3 linked regions of the Elephas maximus indicus genome follow. The protein of the gene in region 1 interacts with the protein of each later gene in a biochemical or structural test. Links are inferred from orthologs where the notes say so. Each region holds a gene or a part of one and is shown in the gene's direction. Other genes may lie near its edges.

Region 1 (7,317 bases):
CCTTGGGTCCAAAGGATGTGCTCCACTCCCAGCTCTTCTTTCTCAATTGCACAACCTTTTGTCTTACAAGAGATAAAAGGAAAAGAAAGCAACCACAGGGTTGGGGATCTCATACCACCAAGAAAGCAGTGACAGGAGCAGAGTACATCTTTTGGACCCAGGGTTTCTGCATGGAGAAGCTCCTAGTCCAGGGAAAGATTGATGACAAGGACCTTCTTCCAGAGCTGACAGAGAAACCCTTCCCCTGGAGCTGACGCCCTGAATTTGGACTTCTAGCCTACTAGGCTGGGAGAAAATAAATTTCTCTTTGTTAAAGCCATCCACTTGTGGTATTTCTGTTATAGCAGCACTAGGTGACTAAGACAGAGGGCACTGAGTTTCCGCTAATGGTACTGGAATAATCTGGAGAAGGACAGTGGTAATGGTTGCACTACATGATGAACGTAATTAATGTCACTGAATTGTACATATAAAAATTGTTGAATTGGCAAATGTTTTGTTATATATACTTTCACCATAATAAAAAAGTGGAAAAAAAAAGGAAAATGAACTGTAATGGGCTCTGGTTAATTTATTACAACAATACTAGAATGGACGAAGGTAGGCTCCTCTGTTCAAGTATAATACATAATGATTTATAACAACTTTGTCAATAGTCACCGTGGAATAAAAACATATCGTGGACCAACAATGACAGCATTGACAAATCTTTAGTTCCTTTAATTTGCACCACAAAGTATATTATGATTATCGTCAATTGACAAAATTATTTAATCTTGGAAACAAAAATTTTCCTTAAAACAAATCAATTGATAATATATCAATTTTTATAAATCAGTATGAGTATGCTTCTTCTCAACCTCAAAGTATATATTCACTGAAACATATTAGTAACAAAATGTGTTCAGTTGATACCAACTCACAGCGACCCTATAGGACAGAGCAGAATTGCCCCATAGGGTTTCCTAGGCTGAAATCTTTATGGAAGCACATCACCAGGTCTCTTCTCCCAAAGAGCGGCTGGTGGGTTCAAACCTTTAAGTTAGAGCCAAGTGCTTAACCACTGGCTCCTAGAAATACATATATAGATATGTAGCCATGTAGATATATAGATATAAAAATATGTAATCTTTTGATTTGTCCATTGTTTTTATATCCTGGGTCTGATAAATAGAAGAGCTCTCAAACAAGTTTTGAGGTAATCAAAATCTAAAGAATGCCAAACAAATCTATTTATTTTTATTACTTCTTTTATAAGATAAAGGAGTTATTATTTGTATTTACCTGGAAATACAAAGGAAACCCTGGAAATCCCAAAGACATTTTAGTGTAAAAGACATCTTAACCATTTCATAATTCCAAATATGGGGACTGAATTTGGGGAAAGCAATATCAAAAAGACTTGTCAGAAATAAACACACAACATAATTGTTACGAATATTAGTCCTTCCTGTAGTGAAGGATCCATTTTTGCTTTTCTTAAAATGACCCAGAAGCATGGTACAAGGCAGCATAAAAGAAAAAAAAACACTTTTGAAAATTAAAAGAGATTTTGTGACCAACTGAAAAGGTTGCTCTCTGTAGAACTGAAAGAGCTTCCCTCAAGAAGGGCTGGAGTATAATTACCTACTTCAAACCTGGCAATCAATCTCCACCTTTAATGTAAAACAGCCACAGAAAGGATTCCCCCTACAACCTAAAGACACATCTAGGTAAGCCCAAGGCCCCCAAGACCAAATAAATGTCTTTCTAGAAGTCATCTGTTGAAGTTCCCATTTCTGAGGACTTGTGCTTCTCTGACACAAGTTGTAAGTTCTTGTCACTATCACTGTGCTGTGCTGTCTGTCTGTTCCAGGGTACATTAATTTCAAAGGACATTTCAGGGTAAGGGCAGATTATCCAATAGGCAAGGTAAGCATGGTGCTTACTTTGCTTACCAGATCATCTGTAGTGAACAATTTATATTTTTTCATCACATCAAAGATTCTGCTTCTAGGTATAGCCAGCATCTGTCTCTCTCCCAAGCCCACAGTCCCTTCCTACAGAATCAAAGCTTCTTGTCTAATGTACAATCCCTGGCTAGGGGCAGATAACCCAGTAAGCAAGGTAAGCACGTTGTAGTGAACAATTTCACTACATGTGAACCCATGTGAAATTGTTCACTACAGATTAGTAAGTGAGTACAAGTAAGCTTGTGCTTACCCTGCTTACTGGGTCATCTGCCCCTGAGTACAATAATAAATTATAAGCCATTGAAAAAATCAATTCATGAATCCAGAATAACTAATTACTATACAAATAAATAAATAAGGGAGAAGGGAGGCTTCTCACAGTTGAATGCTGAGGGCTAAATGGTAAATTTGGCGAGACTGCTGGAGTTGGAAAATAGTCATTTTGCAGTCATCATGATAAAGATGGGATCAGGCAAGATATACCAATGGTTGTGAAATCTAGGCAGAAAGTGAAAGAGTATTTTGCATGATCTTAAAGTGTCTCCCCACAAACACTTAATTAGTTCCAAAGGAGAAAAAAATCTACAGTAATAATATAGTGGAGAGACCACCAATTTTGACCAAGTGATCAAAATTAACATCATCTAAAAAAAAAAAAAATCACCTATGCATTCTATGACCAACCCCAATTTAAATCACAAGGAACCATCAGACACAAAAATGAGAAGGTGCTATTTAATAAAAAGAAAAAGTGAGGGGTACTGCATATTTAAAAAATGTTCATGTCATAAAAGATCAAAGCACTGGGAACTACTCCAGATGAAAGGGGGCCAAAGAGATGGGATAACTAAATCCAACATCTGATCCTAGACGAGATCCTGTACTGCATCAGGGAAATGCTTTACGAACATTATTAGGTCAACTGGAATACAAACTAGAGTGAATTAAATATTAAAATAATGCAAATTTCTTAGAAAATACTCACTGAAGAATTTAGGGGTAAAGGATCATGATGTATATAACCCACCCTCAAATGTTTCAGATGGGGGGAGGGGGGAAATGAAACATATATTAAGTTGCACTAAAAAAAGAAACTAAACCCATTGCCCTCAAATTATATACATGTTTATTTCTGCCTCCGCGAATATATATATACACACACACACACATATACTAAAAAAAAAAATCTGTTGCCATCCAGTGGATTTCAACTCATAGTTACCCTACAGGACAGAGCAGAACTGCCCTACAGGGTTCCCAAGGAGTGGTTGGTGAATTCAAACTGCCAACTTTTTGGTTAGCAGCCAAACGTTTAACGCAGACACCAGGGCCTATACATATAATATACGCACATACGTATGTATCTACTGTATATATAAATACATATATAATTAAATGGAAACCCCGGTGGTGTAGTGGTTAAGTGTTACGGCTGCTAACCAAAGGGTTGGCAGTTCGAATCCACCAGGCGCTCCTTGGAACTTTATGGGGCAGTTCTACTCTGTCCTATAAGGGTCACTATGAGTTGGAATCGACTCGACGGCACTGGGTTTGGTTTTTTGGTTTATATAATTAAATATATATGTTTATAAAATATATCTTTACAGAGAAAAAAAGACTGAGAAAAATCAAAGCTAATGGGGTAAAATGTTAACGATAGTTGAATCTGGGTAAAAGATATACGAGTGTTAGCTGTAATTTTTTATGTCTGCAACTCTTCTAAGTTCGAAATTATTTCCAAGTAAAATCTAAAAAGAATTGGCTTTGGGAAATAATTTGGCTTTTTGGCAGGTTAAGAAACTGCCATTATTCTTAAGGGACAATGCTGTGCAAAAATCACGAATCCAAAAAACGTGAGTTCAGTCCCCGCATGGCTAATTTGTGTTACTCGGAAAGTCACCTAAGCCTCTCTGAGCTTCAGTTCCTCCACTCTGGAGGGCTAACTGGAATGATCAAATGAAAGAATGCATATTAAATATTAAAGCCCTTCATGAACTGTAAGACATTGCTGCTACATACCAACGTAGAAGTGGAAAGTGTGTAACAATAAGTAGGAATAGAGCCGCAGCTGCCTTTCACGCTTCCAAAACTGCGGCCCACTCCACCGTCACTTTTCGGAGACCACCAGGCCTTCTCCTTGCCTGGCTCAGTGGAGCACACCGCTCGCCCTTCCAGGTGGCAGATGCCGCGGCGCTACACCACGTGAGGCCTCGGCCCCGCGCCCTTGGGCCGCAGCCTCGCTGTGGCCCCGCCTCCTTTTCGAACGTCGTCGCGGGATCGCCCTTGGAAACGCATTACCGGAGGAACCTGCACCCGCCAATGAGAGGGGAGTGAGTGCCACGAACAAGCCAATAAGGAGGGAGCGATGCGGGGTTTAAACCCGAAGCCGACCCGGCTCCTCCCGGCTTGCTGCGCAGGAACGGCTGTTGCTTGGTGGTAGCTTTTGGCCCTGGCTTGTCTGGGGCTCCCGAGTTCTCTTTCCTCCCTGTGAATTGCTGCCTGGTGAAGAGGAAGCCATGGCACTTCGAGTCACCAGGGTGAGTTGCTGCGAACCGAGAACAAACGCGACCTTCCTTGCTGCGTGCCCTGTCGCCCTTTTTCGTCTGCAGAACCTCCCGACCGGAGATGACCCGGGTGGCGATTTGGGGAAGAGGATGGGGGGGGAGGTGTCGCCCGGTGTGTGCCGAGGTGAACTCCTTACATAGTGGGTCGGGGCGGGGGTTGGGGAAGGAAAGGCAGACGGACGGAAAAGTGACAAAAAGAACTGAAAGGGCCTTGGATAAGTGTTTAGAGAGGGGGGAGGGTCGATAGGAAACCTTTTTTCTTTTTAAGACGAGGTAGAGCCCCAGGGTGAGCCCCCACCAACCGTGTAATCTCCGTCCTAGAAGGAAGGTGCCAGCAATTGGAGGCTTTCGTTTCTTTTGAATGTAAATTGACAGCATTTTAGAGCTAGCTGGGCCTTCACCGAAGTTCAATTCAAGTAAATGAAGAGATTCAGGAAGGGAAATGGCTTGCCACAGACATCGAGTAGACCCTGGTGCCCAGGTTTCCCCTCCGAGCCCATTTCCAGCCGGCTTTCCTCCCGAGAGCCTCTCTTGTGCCCCACCTTAATTAACTTTTGACTTACTCCAGCCTGGCTAAACTCTAAAATGGTCTTCCTTCTTGCAGAACACGAGAATTAATGCTGAACTTAAGCCGAAAACCAGTATGGCAGGCGCCAAGCGAGTGCCTATGGCCACTGCTGCAGCCCCCAAGCCCGGGCTGAGGCCAAGAATAGCTCTTGGAGACATTGGTAACAAAGTCAGTGAACAGCCACAAGCCAAAATGCCCCTGAAAAAGGTAACTATCTTCCTGACCCAACTTCTCTTTTAAGAGTTCACCTGTGGCTCTTGACAGAGAAACATTCCATTCTCTCCCTTCCATCTACAGGAAGCAAAAACTTCAGCTGCTGGAAAAGTTATTGCCAAAAAACTGCCCAAACCACTGGACAAGACACCTTTGCATGAGCCTGAGCCAGAGCCTGAGCTAGAACGTGAGCCTGTTAAGGAAGAAAAGCTTTCGCCTGAGCCTATTTTGGTAAACTCATTCTTACCTGTTTTAGAGTCTCTTGGTTGTTTCTCTCCCCTCATTTGAATACATAGTAGTAATAGTAACATTTATTTAGTGCTTAGCATGCTTTTTTTAGCATGAGGTAGGTTAACATGCATTAATTCATGTAATCTTGACATACACTCTGAAGTTACTCTTCCATCAACTTTTTTAGACAATGGCTTACAGAGGTTATAAGTATCTTTTCCAAAATCACACTACTAATAAGTGGCACAAATGGGATTCAAACCCAGGCTGTCTAGCTTTAGAAACCTATACTTTTTTTGTATGTGTGTAGTAAAAGTATATATAAAAAATCTTTGCCATTAAAAAGACCAGACTTAATGGTCTGACTGAGACTAGAAGCACCCTGGTGGTCATGGTCCCCAGACCTTCTGTAAGCCCAAGACAGGAACCATTCCCAAAGCCAACTCTTCAGACAGGGATTGGATTGAACAATTGGATAGAAAATGATACTAGTGAAGAATGAGCTTCTTGGATCAAGTAGACAGATGAGACTATGTTGGCATTTTCTGTCTGGAGGGGAGATGAGAGGGCAGGAGGGGGTCAGAAGCTGGCCAAGTGGACGCTAAAAGAGAGTGGAGGGAAGGAGTGTGCTGTCTCATTAGGGGGAGAGCAATTAGGAGTATATAGGAAAGTGTATATAAATTTTTGTATGAGAGACTGACTTGATTTGTGAACTTTCACTTAAAGCACAATAAAAAAAATCTTTGCTGTTTCAACATTTTTTACATGTACAATTTAATGACATTAGTTACTTTCTTCATGTTGTGCAACCATTGCCACTATCCATATACAAATTTTTCCATCATCCTGAAGAGAAATTCAGTTCCCCCTGACTCCCCTTCCCTCTCCCTCCTACCCCTAGTAAAAAAAAAAGACCATTAATAAACTTTGGTCTCTATGCCTTTGTCTATTCTAGATATTTCTTAGGAGCCTATGTTTTTAATTGCTCTTTTATACTGCCCTCCTTTGTTAATGGGATTAAGTAGTAGCTGGTTGGGCCAAAGATTTTGCTTACGAGTTAAAGCCTTCTCTGTCTAGAATTTATTGTCTGAAACAGAATGTTCTCTTGAAAAAAAAAAAATTTTTTTTTTTTTTGGTCACCTAGTTTCTGTAGGTATACCATGTTAGTGTGACATTAATTAGAGCACTACATTACTAATACTAGAGTTAAACAGAATCGTAACTCCTGTTCTGGTGTGCCTCTGGAAAGTTCTTTAGGAAACTTTTTAGGGTTTGACTTTTTTCAACAACTCTTATGTCCTAAAATTCAAAATGTTGTTACGAAAGAAAAATCATATCTTGGATGAATGGTATCATTTTGCTGAAGAAAATGACAGCCTTGGTGATATACTTGAGGAGGCATATACCCTGCTCCAATTTTAGGTACCTCTAATGTGGCCACTAAATAAACCTGTAGCATTGGAATATATACAGATGTGAAGCAGAAATAAAATGTAGCACTTCAAAGAAAGTAGCTAAGAAGATAATTAAACACTTAGCCTCAAAAACCAAGAACTTTTTTTCAGGTATGTACATGTATCTATCCCTGTGAAGGAAGGAAGGCTATCTAAATAAGCTTTGCTGAAAGTTTAATGAACTGCATTCTGAGGCTCTAATTTTTTCAATTTAGCTAGAGCTAGTTGGGAAACTGATCTGTAAAAGTCATTCACCTTAGCTTCTTATGTCTAAGGGTAAGAGACTTGAGGCTATTGCTTTAGTATTTACCTTAGGGACATAACATGAAACGTGT
Region 2 (7,610 bases), on another chromosome or scaffold:
TACCAATGATTAAGAAAGACAATTCAAAATGTAGGATCACAGTTTCTTGCCAATCTGTGAAAAGGTGAAGCATTCAAAGTCTTTGCCCACTTGTAATGTTAATATACACTGAAGTTTCCTTGGACTCGGGTGGACATGGCTCTGGTAGCATGCTTGTCCGTTTTCCCATTCTTGCTTATTCTGTAGTATTTCCTTGGAGTCCAGCTGACATGGCTGTAGCAGCATGCTTGTCCATTTTCCTTCTTTTGTCTATTCTGTAATTTTCTTGGATTCAGGCAGACATGGTTCTGGCAGCATGCTTGTCCATTTCCCACTTTTGCCTTTTTTGAATATATGCCAAATAAAAGTTTCTTTTTGCTTTGTGATGTTTCATACCTTAATCATTATGTAAAAAAAAAAAAGAAAGTCTTTCTCAGAGATGTATATGAAATATTTTCAGGGGAAATGACAGGTACCCTGGGATTTTGCTTTAAAATCTGCAAAAATTAAAAAAGCAGGGTTGGTGAAATGAGACAAGTTTTGGTATAATCAGAAAGTTTACAAGTTACAAAAATTAAAAAAAAAAATGATTCTTGAAGCTGGGTAATGGGGCTTCATTATACTATATACAGTATACATTATACTATTTACTTTTGTTATATTTGAAATAAAAATGTTTACTGCATTACTGTGTGGCTGGGCTGCAAAGTTACCAGCATTATAACAGCAGGCTGTAGCAAGGGTGTCTAGTTCCCTTCTGCGTGCTGGTGGTTAGCCTGGCAAGACTGGGAGGGGTGTCAGAAGCCCCCAGGAACAGCTAAGAATGGAGCCTGCTCTCCCAACTCTGTTGCGAAGGCTGGCCTGGCTGTAATCCCTAGCAGTTCAAATTTCCCTGGGGATTCATCCCCAGCCAGCTGGGGGCTGGGCTCCTCTCAGCAGAGGCCAAGGGAGGTCGCCCCTCCCAGTCTGAGCACCATTATTACTACCTGGTAGGCCAGGCCACACGGAGATGAAAGGGACAGGCTTGCCTTGGGAACTAATCACTAGCCTCTCTGCAGGGCCCGGACACCCAGGAAATGAAAATCCGCCAGAGACACACACTGCAGTGAGGAAGGCTGGGGTTTATCACCTACCTGGAGAGATCTCAAGGGAACAGTGGAGGCCTCTAGTCAACATTCCTTTTTTCTGTCAAAGCCTGTAATTCCACATTAGCACTCAGAGATTCCAAGCTTTAGATTTGGATTTGTTCTCCCCCAGCCGTGAGGCTAATGAAAGTTATGGGTCTTGCTACCTGCACCTACAGGTTTGCACACAATCTCCAGTTATTCACAGACCCCCCTAGAAACCCATTCAAGACACCAGATTAACAGAGTTTAGTAGAGCCAAAAGCTTTCATTCATTTGAAAGAAGCAAGGTCATTCTTTAGAACCTTCTTTAAAATGCAAATGACCCTGGGAGGGTCAAAATGACCAGCCATCCAGCCTAAAAAGAATTTCCCCCAGCAGATACAAAAGATAGCCTAAGAGGTTTTAATGGCTGGGGTGGAGGAGGTATGGGTGGGTGGGTGTAGAAGAGCCTAGGTGTGGGGAACTCTCAAGGGGCCTCACAATTTTCCCTAGAATCTAGAAGGAAATGTATTGGGCAAAGATGCTAATAGCTAACTTTTACAGAGTGCTTATAATAACCTTGTGAATTATGCTCCAACAACATTCCCGTTTTAGGGATGAGGAAGCCTAGACTTTGAAAGATAAAATGGCTTATCCAATCTAGCTAGTGGCAAAGCCAGAACTTGAATCTTCCCTACAAAAGTTGGAAACCCTGGTGGTTAAGAGCCACAGCTGCTAACCAAAAGGTCAGCAGTTTGGATTCACCAGGCACTCCTGGGGAACCGTGTGGGGCAGTTCTACTCTGTCCTATAGGGTCGCTATGAGTTGGAATCTACTTCACGGCAGTGGGTTTGGGTTTTTGGTTTGGTACAAATTTTGGCAGTTGGAACCCACCCCACGGCACAGCGGAAGATTACAGCCAAGAAAACTATGGAGCTCAGTTCTACTCTGTAACACACAGGGTGGTCACGAGCCTGAATTGGCAACAGGCTTGGTTTTCTGGTCTGGCCAACCTGAGACCCAAGGCTACTCACATCATAACTCGTTGGCTCACCTACCCTGGCTCATTTGATCTTAACATGGAGTTAATTAATATGCTTCTTTGATACAAGGGGAAGCTGAGGCAATTCACTGTGTTGCCAAAAGTCACAAATCACCCCACCTCCACAGGGAACCGCTTTGTGTTCCCTCCTTACCCTGGACAGCTGAAGGGGACCGCCCATCGGGACTCACTCCCTGGAGCTTCAAAGACCTGCCGAGAAGTCTGAAGTGTGCATCATCCCAACCTGTCCTCGCTGCTCTTAATTGTTTTCTAAAATCTTTTTTATTGAATTATCAGAGTGTAATGGAAGAGTCAATGAGAGTCACTTCAGAATTATAAGGCCAGGGCTTGCGGGGAAGAAGAAAGCAAAGCCCTAAAGGCTCCCTGGGCTGAGCGATGGTATAAAATATATATTTTTACATAACTGGGAGAAGAAAAAAAAAAAAAACCACAAAGTGGCAAGGCTGCCCCATGGGGGAAACGCCTGTTTCTGTATTTCCATTATCTTGTTTAATGCACAGTCCAGCAGGAGCCTCAGTGGGAAAGGAAACACCGAAGGCTTCTCCTCCAAGCCTCCTGGCAGGTAAAAAGGCAGAGAGCCAAGATGTAGATATCCAAATGGCCTGGGTGTGTGCTCAGAAACCCATTAAAACAGAGGGGACCAAGGGTGGCCTGGGCAGACTGGAAATGGTGCCACTCCTCTGGAGTTCTCGGAGAACTACCCTCAATAGGTTTAGATTCACCTTTCGCTCTGGGTGAAATACAGTATTCCAAATGTGGCCTTCCCAGTGAGGAAGGGAAAGAGGGGAGTGACCCTTGCTAGAGAACAACCTCCACATCAAACATTTATTGAGCAGTTACTATTATGTGCCAAGTACTCTGCTTAGAGATTTTCTTATATTAACTCATTTCAATCCATTTATACAAATAAGAAGGGAGCCCTGGTGGCGCAGTGGCTATGGGCTCGGTGGCTAACTGAAAGGTGGGCAGTTCAAACCCACAAGTGGCTACGAAGGAGAAAGATCTGGCAGTTTGCTTCCGTAAAGATGACAGCCTTGGAAACCCTATAAGGCAGTTCTACCCTGTCCTGTAGGGTTTGTTATGAGTTAGAATCAACTTGATGGCCAAAGGTTTGGATATATAGATGAGAACACTGCCTGGGCCAAGGTCACACAGCCAGTGAGCAGTTGGTGGGATGGGGGAGCCAAACTGCACAGACATGGCTGGCCATAGGAAAGGGAAGGTGTCTGACCTAATGTTTGCCTGGCTATTCTTTTCTTGATCTTAAAATCATTTTACTGGGGACAGATGCTTCAGAGAAGGCTGTGGTGGTGGGTTTGGTGTGGCTTTAAGAACCCCAGTTGGGGATCAGGAGATCTTGGGTTCTAGTCTCAGCTTTGACATTGACTTGCCGTGTGATGTTGAGCAAGTTGCTTGCAAATAACAGGTTTGGGTGAACTCTAAAAGGTCTTTTCCATGTCAAAATTAAAGGACAGATTGAAACCTGCAGCTCCAGCTGGAAGACTTGGGGGGTGGGAGAGGGTGGGAAGCCACACGAGGTGAAGCATAATAGTTAAAAGCAAGGGCCCTGGAATCAGAGGGAGGTAGGTGCCAGTTCTCTGCCACTGCCTATTGGCCTCAATCTCTTTAAGCCTCGTTTGCCCCATCTATCAAATGGGAACAATGATACAGCACTTGGTTTGTATTGAGATGAGATTAAGTGAATGGTCAATTCAAATGCTCAGCACAGAGCCTGGGACAGTAACATTCAGTGCCCAGCACCTAGTGCTAGTATTATTACCCCTCACACCTGTACAGAGCTTTTATGGTGCAGGAAACATTGGCCTTATTAATTGTATGGGAACCCCACAACAACACAGTCAGGTGTTTGTACTTATTATTTCCATTTGGATGGTGTAGAAGGTGAGGCTTCAGGTGAGAGGTGGTCCTGACCCTGTGAATCAATCCGATGACTCACTAATCGATGGAGATCTGCAGTTAAAAAGACATAACTAGGTCATTTTACTGTGGACAGAATTCTCCAGATAGTGGTTGGTGGTGGCTGTGGTGTGCCTTTAAGAACCCAAGGGGTCCTTTCTGACCCCTGTCTTAGCCCTGGTAGGGCTAGGATTTGAACCCAGTGAGAATCGGAATCATGCAGCCCCAACGCTCCACCTAGGCCCTACAAACCTCTCCTCAGCTTATCACCGGGTCGTTTCGGGGCCGCAGGGCGGGGCCGTGGGCGAGCCGCCCGCCCCCCGCCCTGCGGAGGAAGCTGCGGGCCGAGCCACGCCGCCTATAGGCTGCGGCCAGGGCAGGTGCATCCTCAGCCAATCAGTGGCGCTGGGGGCGGCACCCTCGGGACTCACCTGGTGGCCGCAGCGCTGCTCTGCTCAGTGGCGTCCGGAGTCCAAGAGCACCTGTGAGTTCACGGAAGTCTTGCCAGGCTCTAGCCCGGCCCAACCAGACCCCCGCCTCCCTCAGCCCCGGTCCGGGCCGCCATGGGCCCTCGGTGCTGCAGCCTCTTCGCACTCCTGCTGCTGCTACAGGTACGTCGGCTCACCTGACTTCAGAGAAAGCATTCTGGCCCCACGCTCCGCGCCTCGGCTCTGCGTCCCCTCTTCTCTCGCACTGTCCCCGCTCCTCCTTCAGAGAAAGTTTGGGTCCGAAGGGCGAGAACGGCCTGGAAGCTGCGGCGCGCTCCCCTGAGTGGGAGGGGTAAAGCGGCGCGCGGCTGAGCCCGCCCCCGGCCGCAAATACCCGAGTGGGGGGCGCACCTCGCCGTAGGCTCGGGGGGCTCTGTGTTGGTCGAGGTGTGGACTTGGACCGGGCAGTGGGGACGTGGAGTCAGTCGGGAAAGGGAAGCCCCGTTGTCAGTACAGGAGAAGCCAGTAGTGGGAACGAAGTGAGGAAAAGGGCTTCCATAGAAATCAAGACACCTCCCATGTAAGTAGAAATGGGGGCGTCCCCGGGATAGGGAAAGTGAGGTCCGAAGGGGTTGGGCAGCCCCTCTGTGAGGAATTAGATTAAGGCGGGGGCGTTTCGGTATGAGAAAACGGAATCGTGAACTGTAAAGACACTACCAGTGAAATGAAAAAGAAGACAGAAAGGAAAGGGGGGCTTAGTCATGAGGAGGTGACCCAGAAGCTCCCTCCCGCGAAGTTCCTTGGGGGGCTTGGCGGCTGCGGGTTTCGAGGTGGCAGAGGGTGACGCCGCTGTCTTCTGGGGTAGTGGGGCGTTCCTCCCTCAGTCCCGATGCCGCAAGCGAGGGAGGATTTCAGTGTGAGCAGGAGGCAACCCTCCCCCCCAAGTCACCCCGGTTACATACCTTTCCCTCACTGCAGGTTTCGGCGTGGCTCTGTGAGGAGCCGGAGCCCTGCCGTCCTGGCTTTGGGGCGGAGAGCTACGTGTTCACGGTTACCCGGCGGCACTTGGAGAGAGGTCACGTCCTGGGCAGAGGTGAGGGCACGCCGCCCGTGGGGGGACGGAGAAATTGCATACCTACGCCTTGGCTCTCCTGGGCGAACCCCCCTCTTGGCTCAAAAGATATCCTTTTGAATGTGCACAGATTTAAGGATTTAAACTTTTACTAAGTGTTTGAAGGACGACGCCCTGTCTGTTTACCTATGTTGTAAAAGGGGGAAGGCACTAATAAGAGCCTTCAGTGTGTCTTAAGTCCTGGGCACTTTAGAGAAAGGTGGGCAATATTCCCGTTTTACAGATGAACAAACCGAAGCTCGGGGGGGAGGGTGCAGTTCACTTGCCCAGGGTCAGGGGAACAGATACTGGAACTAGGATCTGATTCCCACGCATAGTTCTGCAACCATCTCTGTGGTGACTGTGGAACCTTTTTGGTTGCCAGGGCTGTGGCTTTTGCTCTGGGGATGAGAACATTTTGATACAGGTGCTATTCCCCTATGAAATAATGGTATTTAAAAAAAGTTTGTTAGCTCTGACTCAGGGGATGAAAATGCATACAAACGCCCAGTGTACTTCTAGGCTTTATCATTGTGATCACCTGGATTCTGGAGTTTGTTTCACTTCACTGTTGCCCAGGGGCAGGATAGAGGGAAGGGGTTGGTTTCTCCTCTGATTTCCCTGTTTCTGTTGCTTGCTTATCATCAGTGGACTTTCTCCTCCCTCATGATATTGGTTGATTGGGCGAATATCATAACAATGAAGGAAGCACTTTTTAAAAAGAGAAATCACCCACAGTTCCCCTGAGGCATCACTGAGTTTATTCCTCCAGTCTTTGGCCACGTGAAGAACCTGCAGCAATCACACTGCTGTCTTAAAGATTTTTTTTTGAACTTTGGAAGTTGTTCTAACAGTGGGCAGCCTTTTCCCCAGAGAAACTGCCGTTTGATTGATTAAACATATTTGCTTTTCGGAGGCCTTTCTCTGTTGTTTAGAGCTTCCTGTTGGGTCAGAAAGGACACATCTGCCTGATGTTGCAGACGGTCGGCCGTTACTCAGGCAGTCTCTATTTAATGTTTTGTCCAGCCTTGGGCTGGGCACCAGGGAACACGTTAAGAGATGTGGGGACAGGATGCTCCAACCCTGTCCTCAGTATTTCACATTCTAGCTGATTGTTGAGAATGTCTCAGGGCCCCTTTACCAGAGGGCACCATGGTGCCTGGGCAATGAGGTGCGAAAGGGCGAAGATATTTTGGTGGACAGTGAAGACTGACTTTTGGGAGGAATAAAGCCTGACCTGGCCTTAAGAGTCAGGTAGGGCTTAGAAAAGGCAGTGAGTATGTTACGTGTGTATATATGAGGTGTGTCAACACAGGTGCTGGCCAGTTTGCTTTCATGCACCAGGACAGTTGAGTATATTTGGTTAGTCCCAAGCGTGTGTTATCAAAAACCAAACCTGACTCATAGCAACCCTATATAAGAGAGTAAAACTGCCCCCTAGGGTTTCCAAGGCTGTAATCTAGGAGCAGCTGATGGGGTTGAACCATTGACCTTTCAGTTAACAGCCAAGAGCTTAACCACTGCACCACCAGGGCTCCAAGGGTGGGTTAGTCTGATTTTTATTTTCCCCTTCTAAGCACATGGCATCTGACCAGTAATATTATGTATCCCTAACAACATAATTATTATAATTAATAGCAGTCTCTTTATTACTCGCTTTTGAACCAGATTCTGGAGTAAGTGCTTCACATATTGTATCTTATTTAAATTCACAACAATTTATGAGGGTAGGCACAATGATTATTTCTTTTTTGTGGTAACTGAAGCACAGACAGGTTCAGTTATCTGCTCAAGGATCCAAACTGGTCTTTTTCCTCCTCTTCCCCTCTTCTTTCTCTTCAATATTCAAAAAAAAAAAAAAAAAGATGATGATGTTTGGGGAATTTGTGGCTTTTGTGAAGTAGACTACATTCTCCCTGTGGGCCCCTGGAGAGCAGAGGGGTTGATAGGGTGGGCCCCTTCAAGGAGGTGATGATGGAGTGATGGAGATGGTGGGAAGTGGAGGA
Region 3 (7,491 bases), on another chromosome or scaffold:
TTGTGAGGAGCGTTGGTAAAAAAAAAAAAAAAAAAAACTTATTGTGAGGAAGGTTGGTGGTGCAACCTGTTAAGCTCTTGGCTGCTAAACAGAAAGGTTGGTAGTTCATAACCACCCAGCTGCACCAGGAGAAAGGTCTGGCGATATGCTCAGACAAAGTTAAAAAAAAAAAAAAAATTACAGCCTAAAAAACCCTATGGGGCAGTTCTATTTTGACTCAAGGGGTCACTGACTCTGAATCTACTCGATGGTACACAACAAGACACATACTAGCCAAATACAATGTTTGACCTTATTGACACCTTGATTGGAACGTACCAACTCCTTTTTTTTTAATGAGAAATTGGACTGAATATTGAATTATATTCAGGAATTATTTTTTTTTTAGGGATCGTGGATGCCTTTTTTTTTTTTTAAGGTATTCTTCTCTTTTCGAGAGGTATAGTGAAATGTTCATAAATGAAATTTCATGCTGTCTAGGATTTGCTTCAAAATAATCCCGGAAGGAGGGAAGAAGCTGTGTAGGAGACCTGGTGAATTTTTGAAGGCAAATCCTTGCTCCCCGAGCCCATACCAAACCCACTGCTGCCAGTGAATTATGGTTCGTGGTGACCCCATGTGTTAAAAAATAGAACTGCACCATGGGGTTTTCTTGGCTGTTTGCATTACCAAAGCAGGTTGCCAGGTGCTGCTGGGTGAGTTCCAACTGCCCACCCAGGGACTGTGTTTGCTCCCACGATCCCCTCTCTAAAAAAGCTAATCTCAAAGCGTCCATGTTTTTGTGTCGCTTTGGAAGTGAAGGTCTTAATTTCCTTTTGGGGTTTGGAAAAAACAACCCTGGGCTTTTGCTATACAAAGGTAAAACGGAGATTGTTTGGTAGAGGGGGGAAGGAGTTAAACAATTGGGCTTGAGATGACTGGAAAGGTAAGCCTCATCGAGGAGTTTAGATTGAATCCTAATAGAACAAGGAGCCATTGAAGGGTTTAAGCAGAGATGGTACACAATCAGATTAATGTTTTCAGAAATCACTGCAGCTTCAGTGACTTGGGTTGAGGATTTATACAGTGATATCTGTGAGAGCCAGAACTCTCCCAGACTGCCTTTTTTCGAGGGGTCTCAAGTTTTCTGCCGTTCACGGTGCAGTCTTACCACTTTTCTATCGCTTTTATCAAAAAGTATCTCAGTTTTCCTTTTCTGACAGGTTTCTGCCTTACACGAGTTCTGGCTTTCACAAGTTTTACTGCACTGAAGTCTGTCCACCATCATGGGTGAACCTACCTATATGCAGCAGCCTCAGGGAAAAGACCTCCTCCCAAATATCTCCTGCCGGCTACAGGGAAGGTCTATCAAGTCACACGATAGTATGTGTTTGAGAGCAATATGACTAAAGGTTGGAAATCCTGTTTAGGCTCTGATTTCAATGCAATATTGTTTAGGCAATAAGCCACATGGGTTTATAAACATCCATTATGAAGACAAAACTCTTGTAGTGGTGCTTTATAACTGAAAGACTGGAGTATAATTAAACTTTGCTTTTTTACATTATTTAATAACTTTAGTTTTTTGTTGACATCATGAAAATGACAGACTCCAATGGAGTAATATATGTATTACTTTAATTGTTGCAGGCTAATGAGAAGGGGCAAACTTGTACCAGATGAAGGCTGCGTGACATCATAGCAGACAGTCCAAAAGCAAATTCCACAGTGCCTCTAATGTTACAAGCCCAATGAAAAGTGGAAGTTGGAAAAGAAAACTGACTAACGGCCCATCATTTTCTAAATGGTGTGAATGAGTCATCTGAGTACTGATTTCCTTTGACAATCAGCTAGAAAGCTCTGCACTCAAACTATAAGATTTTTTCAACATCTCTGATAATAGAACTCAAAGTCCAGATATTACTTCCTGTTCCCAATTGCAGCAATAATTTGTTCAGATTCTCCCTTAATGCAGATTTAAATAACACTAACTTAACTGCAAGCGAACAAGACAGTTTTATGAAGGTATCAAATGACATTAGAGAAATGCTTCCTGGTAAAGTTTTTGTGAAGTATTAGGTCCAATAATCCTGAACTAATAAACAAGGTGTTGAAATTATTAAAACCATTTTGTGTTTTTGGTACGGCACGCTTATGTAAACAGGCATTTTCTGCGTGCATTAATATTACTGAAAGTTAAATCACAGAAGTGGATTAAACAGAGAACCTGAACTGAGGCTATATTTTTCTACTTTTCTTCAACATTGGTGATTTTATTTCAGCAAAGCAGTATCATTCATCACAGTAAATTAATGTCGTTATTGTGAGTTGCTTTGAGTTTATAGTTGTTTGATTTAAAATTTTTGTTCTGATTTTAAGATTTTTACAAGCATAAGGGAAACCCTGGTGGCATAGTAGTTAAGAGCTACAGCTGCCAACCAAAAGGTCGGCAGTTTGAATTCACCAGGGGCTCTTTGGAAACCCTATGGGGCAGTTCTACTCTGGCCTATAGGGTCGCTATGAGTCAGAATTGACTTGACAGCAACAGGTTAGGTTTTTTTTTTTTTTTTTCTGGGGGGGAGGGGGGTATAAGCACAAGGAGTTGACAAATACTTTATGCACTTAAGTAATGTATTGATTTAAAAAAACTTGTCAACATTGAGGAGGGGGCTTATTTTCCCTTTTAAAACAGTATGAAGAAAATAAAAAGGTGAAATGAACATTACTTAATTTTAAGAAATGCTATCTACAAAATTCCCCTTCTTGCTTAGGTTAAATTGGGTTTGTTACCTGAAGCCAATACAATTGTAATTGATATACCGCCTCTGGAGTTGCGAAGGAGCCCTGGTGGTGCAGTGATTAAACCCTCAGTTGCTCACCAAAAGTTTGGCAGTTCAAACCCACCAGCTTAGGAAACCTTATGGGGCAGTTCTACTCTGTCCTATAGGGTCGCTATGAGTTGGAATTGACTCGCTGGCATCTAACAATAACAACAAAGAATTGTGATAAATAGATGCAAACAATAAAGTACAATATGAATTAAGATATTTACTACACAAAGCAGATTCTGAAGAACTGCTTCTTAATTAGTGGGAATGGATGATACAATGATAATAATACGTAAAGTTTTTAATAGTACCAATTTTAGCCCGATAGCTATATGGGTAACAATTCCTTAACATTAATTCTCAATCTACATTCAGATTTTGCAAAGGAATGATGATAATAATTGGTAATGAATTTAAGATGGCTGAAGAGTCCCTAGGGGGTGCAAACAGTTAACTTGCTTGGCTGCTAATCCAGAGGTCGGCGTCCACCGAGAGGTGCCTTGGAAGAAAGGTCTGGCAATATACCTCTGAAAAATCAGCCATTGAAAACCCTAAGGAGCACATTTCCACTCTGACACACATGGGGTCACCCTGAGTCAAAACCAGCTCCATGACAACTGGTTATGATGAAAGAAGAAACAAAGGGTTGGGGGGTGGTGTTAGGGACAGTGGTAAGGTGGTACGGTCAGTAGATGACAGGTCCTGGTGAGTCGGAACTTTGTTGGAGACCGGGAGGAGGCTAAGAAGGGCAGGAGGTGGTCCCACTTTTCCTTTTGCACACTGCGCAGTTCCAGCAGTCTTCTTTTTCAGTTGATTATGAGAGACAAACTCCTTCCAGCCTGAGGCTTTGGAAAATTCTGTGCAGATGTCTTCCCTGCAGTCTCATCCATCTCGGCTCTGGCACCACTTTCTCAATCCAAAAACTAAATTAGGTCCTCCAATTATACCGTCACTAAGTCTTCTTCATAGCACTTACATAATCATAATTTAAAAACCAAAGGAAAATCTATTTGCTTGATGTCCACTAAGAACTATGTATCCTTTGTTCACTGCTGTCGTTGCCAACACCCAGTGCAGCGTCTAGCACATTAGTTAAACCAAAACCTTTGCTGTGGGGTCATTCCGACTCACTACAACCCTATAAAAAAAAAAAAAATTAATTGCCCCAAAGGGTTTCCAAGGAACAGCTGGCAGATTCCAACTTCCTACCTTTTGGTTAGCAGCCATACATAACTCTTAACCACTGAGCCACCAGGGCTCCCGCACCAACAGCAGGACACACTCGATATTTGTAGAACAAAAAAGGGAGTGTTCAATAGTGTCAAATGCCACAGGTTCTAAATGCAACCACTCTTTTTGCTCTCAAGCGAGGGTTCGTATTTACTCGTTTGAAAAAAAAAAAAGTAATTTGGGAATGAATTACTTTAGTTAATACTAAATATTAATATTAATTACTTTAAAGTTGGACTTCATCCCATCTGAATTTGGAGCATATCGCTGTATAAATCCGCTGTCAGCCCAGATATGCTCGTTCATGAAAGTAGTACTTTACTTAGCCCTCCCTTCTAAAACGGAAGGGATGGGTCTACAGTCAGACTGCTGGTTCGCGTTGGCAACCGTGTCAGAGGCGGATCTTAACCGTCGAGAACGGAAGTTCCTGAGCGTTCAAACCGGCGGGGAAGCAACTCGGCAACGGACCAAGATGGCGGCGCCCACCGAGGGGCTAACTTTTGTCGCGGGGGTGGAAAAGAATTGGGGTGCGGTTGTTCGCTCCCCCGAAGGGACCCCCCAGAAAATCCGGCAGCTGATAGATGAGGGGATTGCCCCAGAAGAGGGAGGAGCGGATGCGTGAGTTCGCGAGTCAACTCTGGGACTGGGGCCGGCAGGTTGGAGAGAGATTGGGGAACATAGGCCTCGGGGGTCGCCCTGGTCCGCGCCTCTGGCGTTGGGACGGCGTTTTCCCGGATCGGAAAGGGACTGGGGTTGCTACACTTAGCTTTTTTTTCTCCCCACCGGACCCCGCACGAGGGGTGGAATTTTGCCATAGACAGTTATTTGGAGGACAGAAAGAAAGAAAGAGAACCGCTAACTGAATGTGCGCGCCTAACTTCTCTTATTTAGGGGTTCTTTACCCTTTTTTTGTGCCACGGACCCCTTTGGCACTCTGGTGAGGCTTATGAACCCCTTCTCGGAATGTTTTTTAAAGGCATAAAGTAAGATACACAGAATTTTAAAGGAAGTCAATGACGTTGGAATGCAGTTATGAAGACAGTAAAAGAAGAGCTACAGTAACATGCTTCTTTATTAAAAAATTAAGTAATACCTACCAGTCGGTCTGTTAACCCAGCCCGTCTGTTATTTCCCATAATTTCGTAGTGATGCACATAAACGCTGTTTTAAAACATGCGCAGCAACCATAATGTGATGAGAAAAATCTGATTTCTATTGATGACAAATTAATAGGTCCTGCTAATACTTCTGACGTTTACTTTCATTCGTAATTGAAAGGAATGCTAAATTTCAGTTAAACTAGTTGCGGTTGAGCGGATTCCGACTCATAGTGGCCCTATAAGACAGAGTAGAACTGCCCCATGAGGTTTCCAAGGAGCGGCTGGTGGATTTGAACTGCTGACCTTTTGGTTAGCAACCAAGCTCTTAACCATTGCACCACCACAATCCCATTTAAATTTATGCATCCTTTGATTTTTTTCCAAGAACCACACGCTTTCCTGAGGCTCTCTCTGAGTCTGAGAAAGGTTCTTAGAGTAAAAAATACATATATATGTTTTTTTTGCATATAATAGGTGTTGGTCTAATGTGCTTTTCTTAAAATGACTCTTGTCTTTCAGCATCCTCCCCCCCCCCCAGCCCATTGCCATTGAAATGTCTTTCACTAGAAATGAGAAAATTGTTTTGCTGATCTTTTTCTCTGAAATTCTTTCATGAAATCTCCTAAAGATGTTTACTCTGATTTGAGGTTTTTTTGGCGGGAGGGTAGGGGTGTGTATCAGGGGCTGATTCAGGTAGAAATAAGAAAATTGTTTTTTTCTGCTGTTAAAAGAGTTGATATCTAAGGCAGTACAAATTGTATAATGCATGACTGTCACCTGGAGTCTCATTTTGCGTTTACTAAAGTTATGCAAAACACTGTTGGGAAGAGTGAGGTAGGAGAACAGTTTGTTAGTACAGGATTAGTGGAGCACTCCAGAGGTAGGAACTGCTGGAAAGTTAGGTATGGCCAACCTGTAAACAGTTTTGAATGCCATACTGAAATATTTGAATTTTATTTAGCAAATAGTATAAAACCATAGAAAATATTAATCTGAGGAGTAGCATAACTAAAAAGATTTTCAGGAATGTTAAGATCCACTGTTGATGTGGTTGATAGTATAATGTCGAGAGAAGCCAGATAAAAAATTCTTGGGCAGAGTGGTACCATAAAAGGATTACTACTAACAGTTCTGTCTGTCACTTTACTTTAGGAAGGACACATCTGTCACCTTGCAGTCAGTTAATGGATCACCCCAGGCAGAACAACCTCCGTTGGAATCTACAAGCAAAGAAGCCTTCTTTAGCAGAGTGGAAACATTTTCTATATCTTTTTTTTAAATTACAATTTATTTTTGTTGTTGTTGTTGTGGAGTTCCATATCCTTTTTGACTTCACGTTAAGTTGAGCTTCCTGCCTGCTCCTGGAATTGTTATTCCTCCAGGGTATTACACCACTTACTCTGATGTTTTAAAATTAAGAATCAAAACTTGGTAAAAAAAATTTTACCAAAAATCAGTATCATAAAATGTTATCCCTCAAAGTGACATCTGAGATTATCTAACCTTTATTTTTATAGAAGGAGAACCTAAAAGCCTGAGAGGAGAAGAAATAACAACTTTCATATATAGTGCGTTTTCACATATATTGTGACATTTGATCTTCACCTTAAACCTATGAAAATAGGTATTAGCATTATCCTCATTTTACAGGGGAGATGACAGTTAGGTCATGCGACTTGCCCAAGATCAACCTACTAACAAATAGCAGAGCCAGGATTATATCCTAGGACTCTTGGTACCCAAACCTGATAGTTGTTTTTTTTTTTTTTTTAACTGTGTACATTTCTTGTCTTTCTGGATTTTCCTTTGTGTATTAGTTATCTATTCTGTGTAAAAAAAAAATTACTCTAAAACTTAGTGGCTTAAAACAACACACATTATCTCACAATTTCTGTGGATCAGGAATCCAGGCTTGGCTTAGCTGAACCATAGGGCTCAGGGTCTGTCATAGGCTGCAGTCAAAGTGTCAGCCAGTGCTGCAGTCATCTGAAGATTTTCCTCGGGAAGGATCCACTCCCAAGCTCGCTCGCTTGGTTGCTGCCAGAACTCATTTCCTCATGGCTGAGGGTTTCACTTCCACGCTGATCGTTGGCTGAAGGCCTCCTTCAGTGCCTTGCTACTTGGGCTTCTCCATGGGGAGAGTTTACAACACTGTGATTGGCTTCATCAGAGCAAGCCATAGAGTAAGACAGAAGCCAGAACCTAATCTGTAATCTAATCTCAGAAGTGACATCCCATCACTTTTACCATATTCTGTTCATTAGAAGCAAGTCACGTCCAGTCCACACTCAGAGAGGAGAGGATTACACAAGGCTGGGAATAGCAGCAGGCAGGGATTGCTGGGAGCCCTTTTA

What was found.
Region 2: of the proteins of CCNB1 (region 1) and CDH1, one has a biochemical effect on the other in vitro, tested with the Homo sapiens proteins (3 studies listed by BioGRID). The link is inferred for Elephas maximus indicus from reciprocal best matches to the Homo sapiens genes CCNB1 and CDH1.
Region 3: of the proteins of CCNB1 (region 1) and ZC3HC1, one has a biochemical effect on the other in vitro, tested with the Homo sapiens proteins (3 studies listed by BioGRID, with this or other methods). The link is inferred for Elephas maximus indicus from reciprocal best matches to the Homo sapiens genes CCNB1 and ZC3HC1.

What each region holds. Positions count from the first base shown.
Region 1 is NC_064820.1:74,619,521-74,626,837, forward strand, and holds the start of CCNB1 (G2/mitotic-specific cyclin-B1), read left to right. Parts: upstream 1-4,288; 5' UTR 4,289-4,468; coding exon 4,469-4,489; intron 4,490-5,120; coding exon 5,121-5,291; intron 5,292-5,381; coding exon 5,382-5,528; intron 5,529-7,317. UniProt on the Homo sapiens protein: Essential for the control of the cell cycle at the G2/M (mitosis) transition.
Region 2 is NC_064839.1:35,054,469-35,062,078, forward strand, and holds the start of CDH1 (cadherin-1), read left to right. Parts: upstream 1-4,510; 5' UTR 4,511-4,628; coding exon 4,629-4,676; intron 4,677-4,690; exon of another isoform or gene 4,691-5,471; coding exon 5,472-5,586; intron 5,587-7,610.
Region 3 is NC_064826.1:20,160,664-20,168,154, forward strand, and holds the start of ZC3HC1 (zinc finger C3HC-type protein 1), read left to right. Parts: upstream 1-4,463; 5' UTR 4,464-4,509; coding exon 4,510-4,655; intron 4,656-6,289; coding exon 6,290-6,401; intron 6,402-7,491. UniProt on the Homo sapiens protein: Required for proper positioning of a substantial amount of TPR at the nuclear basket (NB) through interaction with TPR.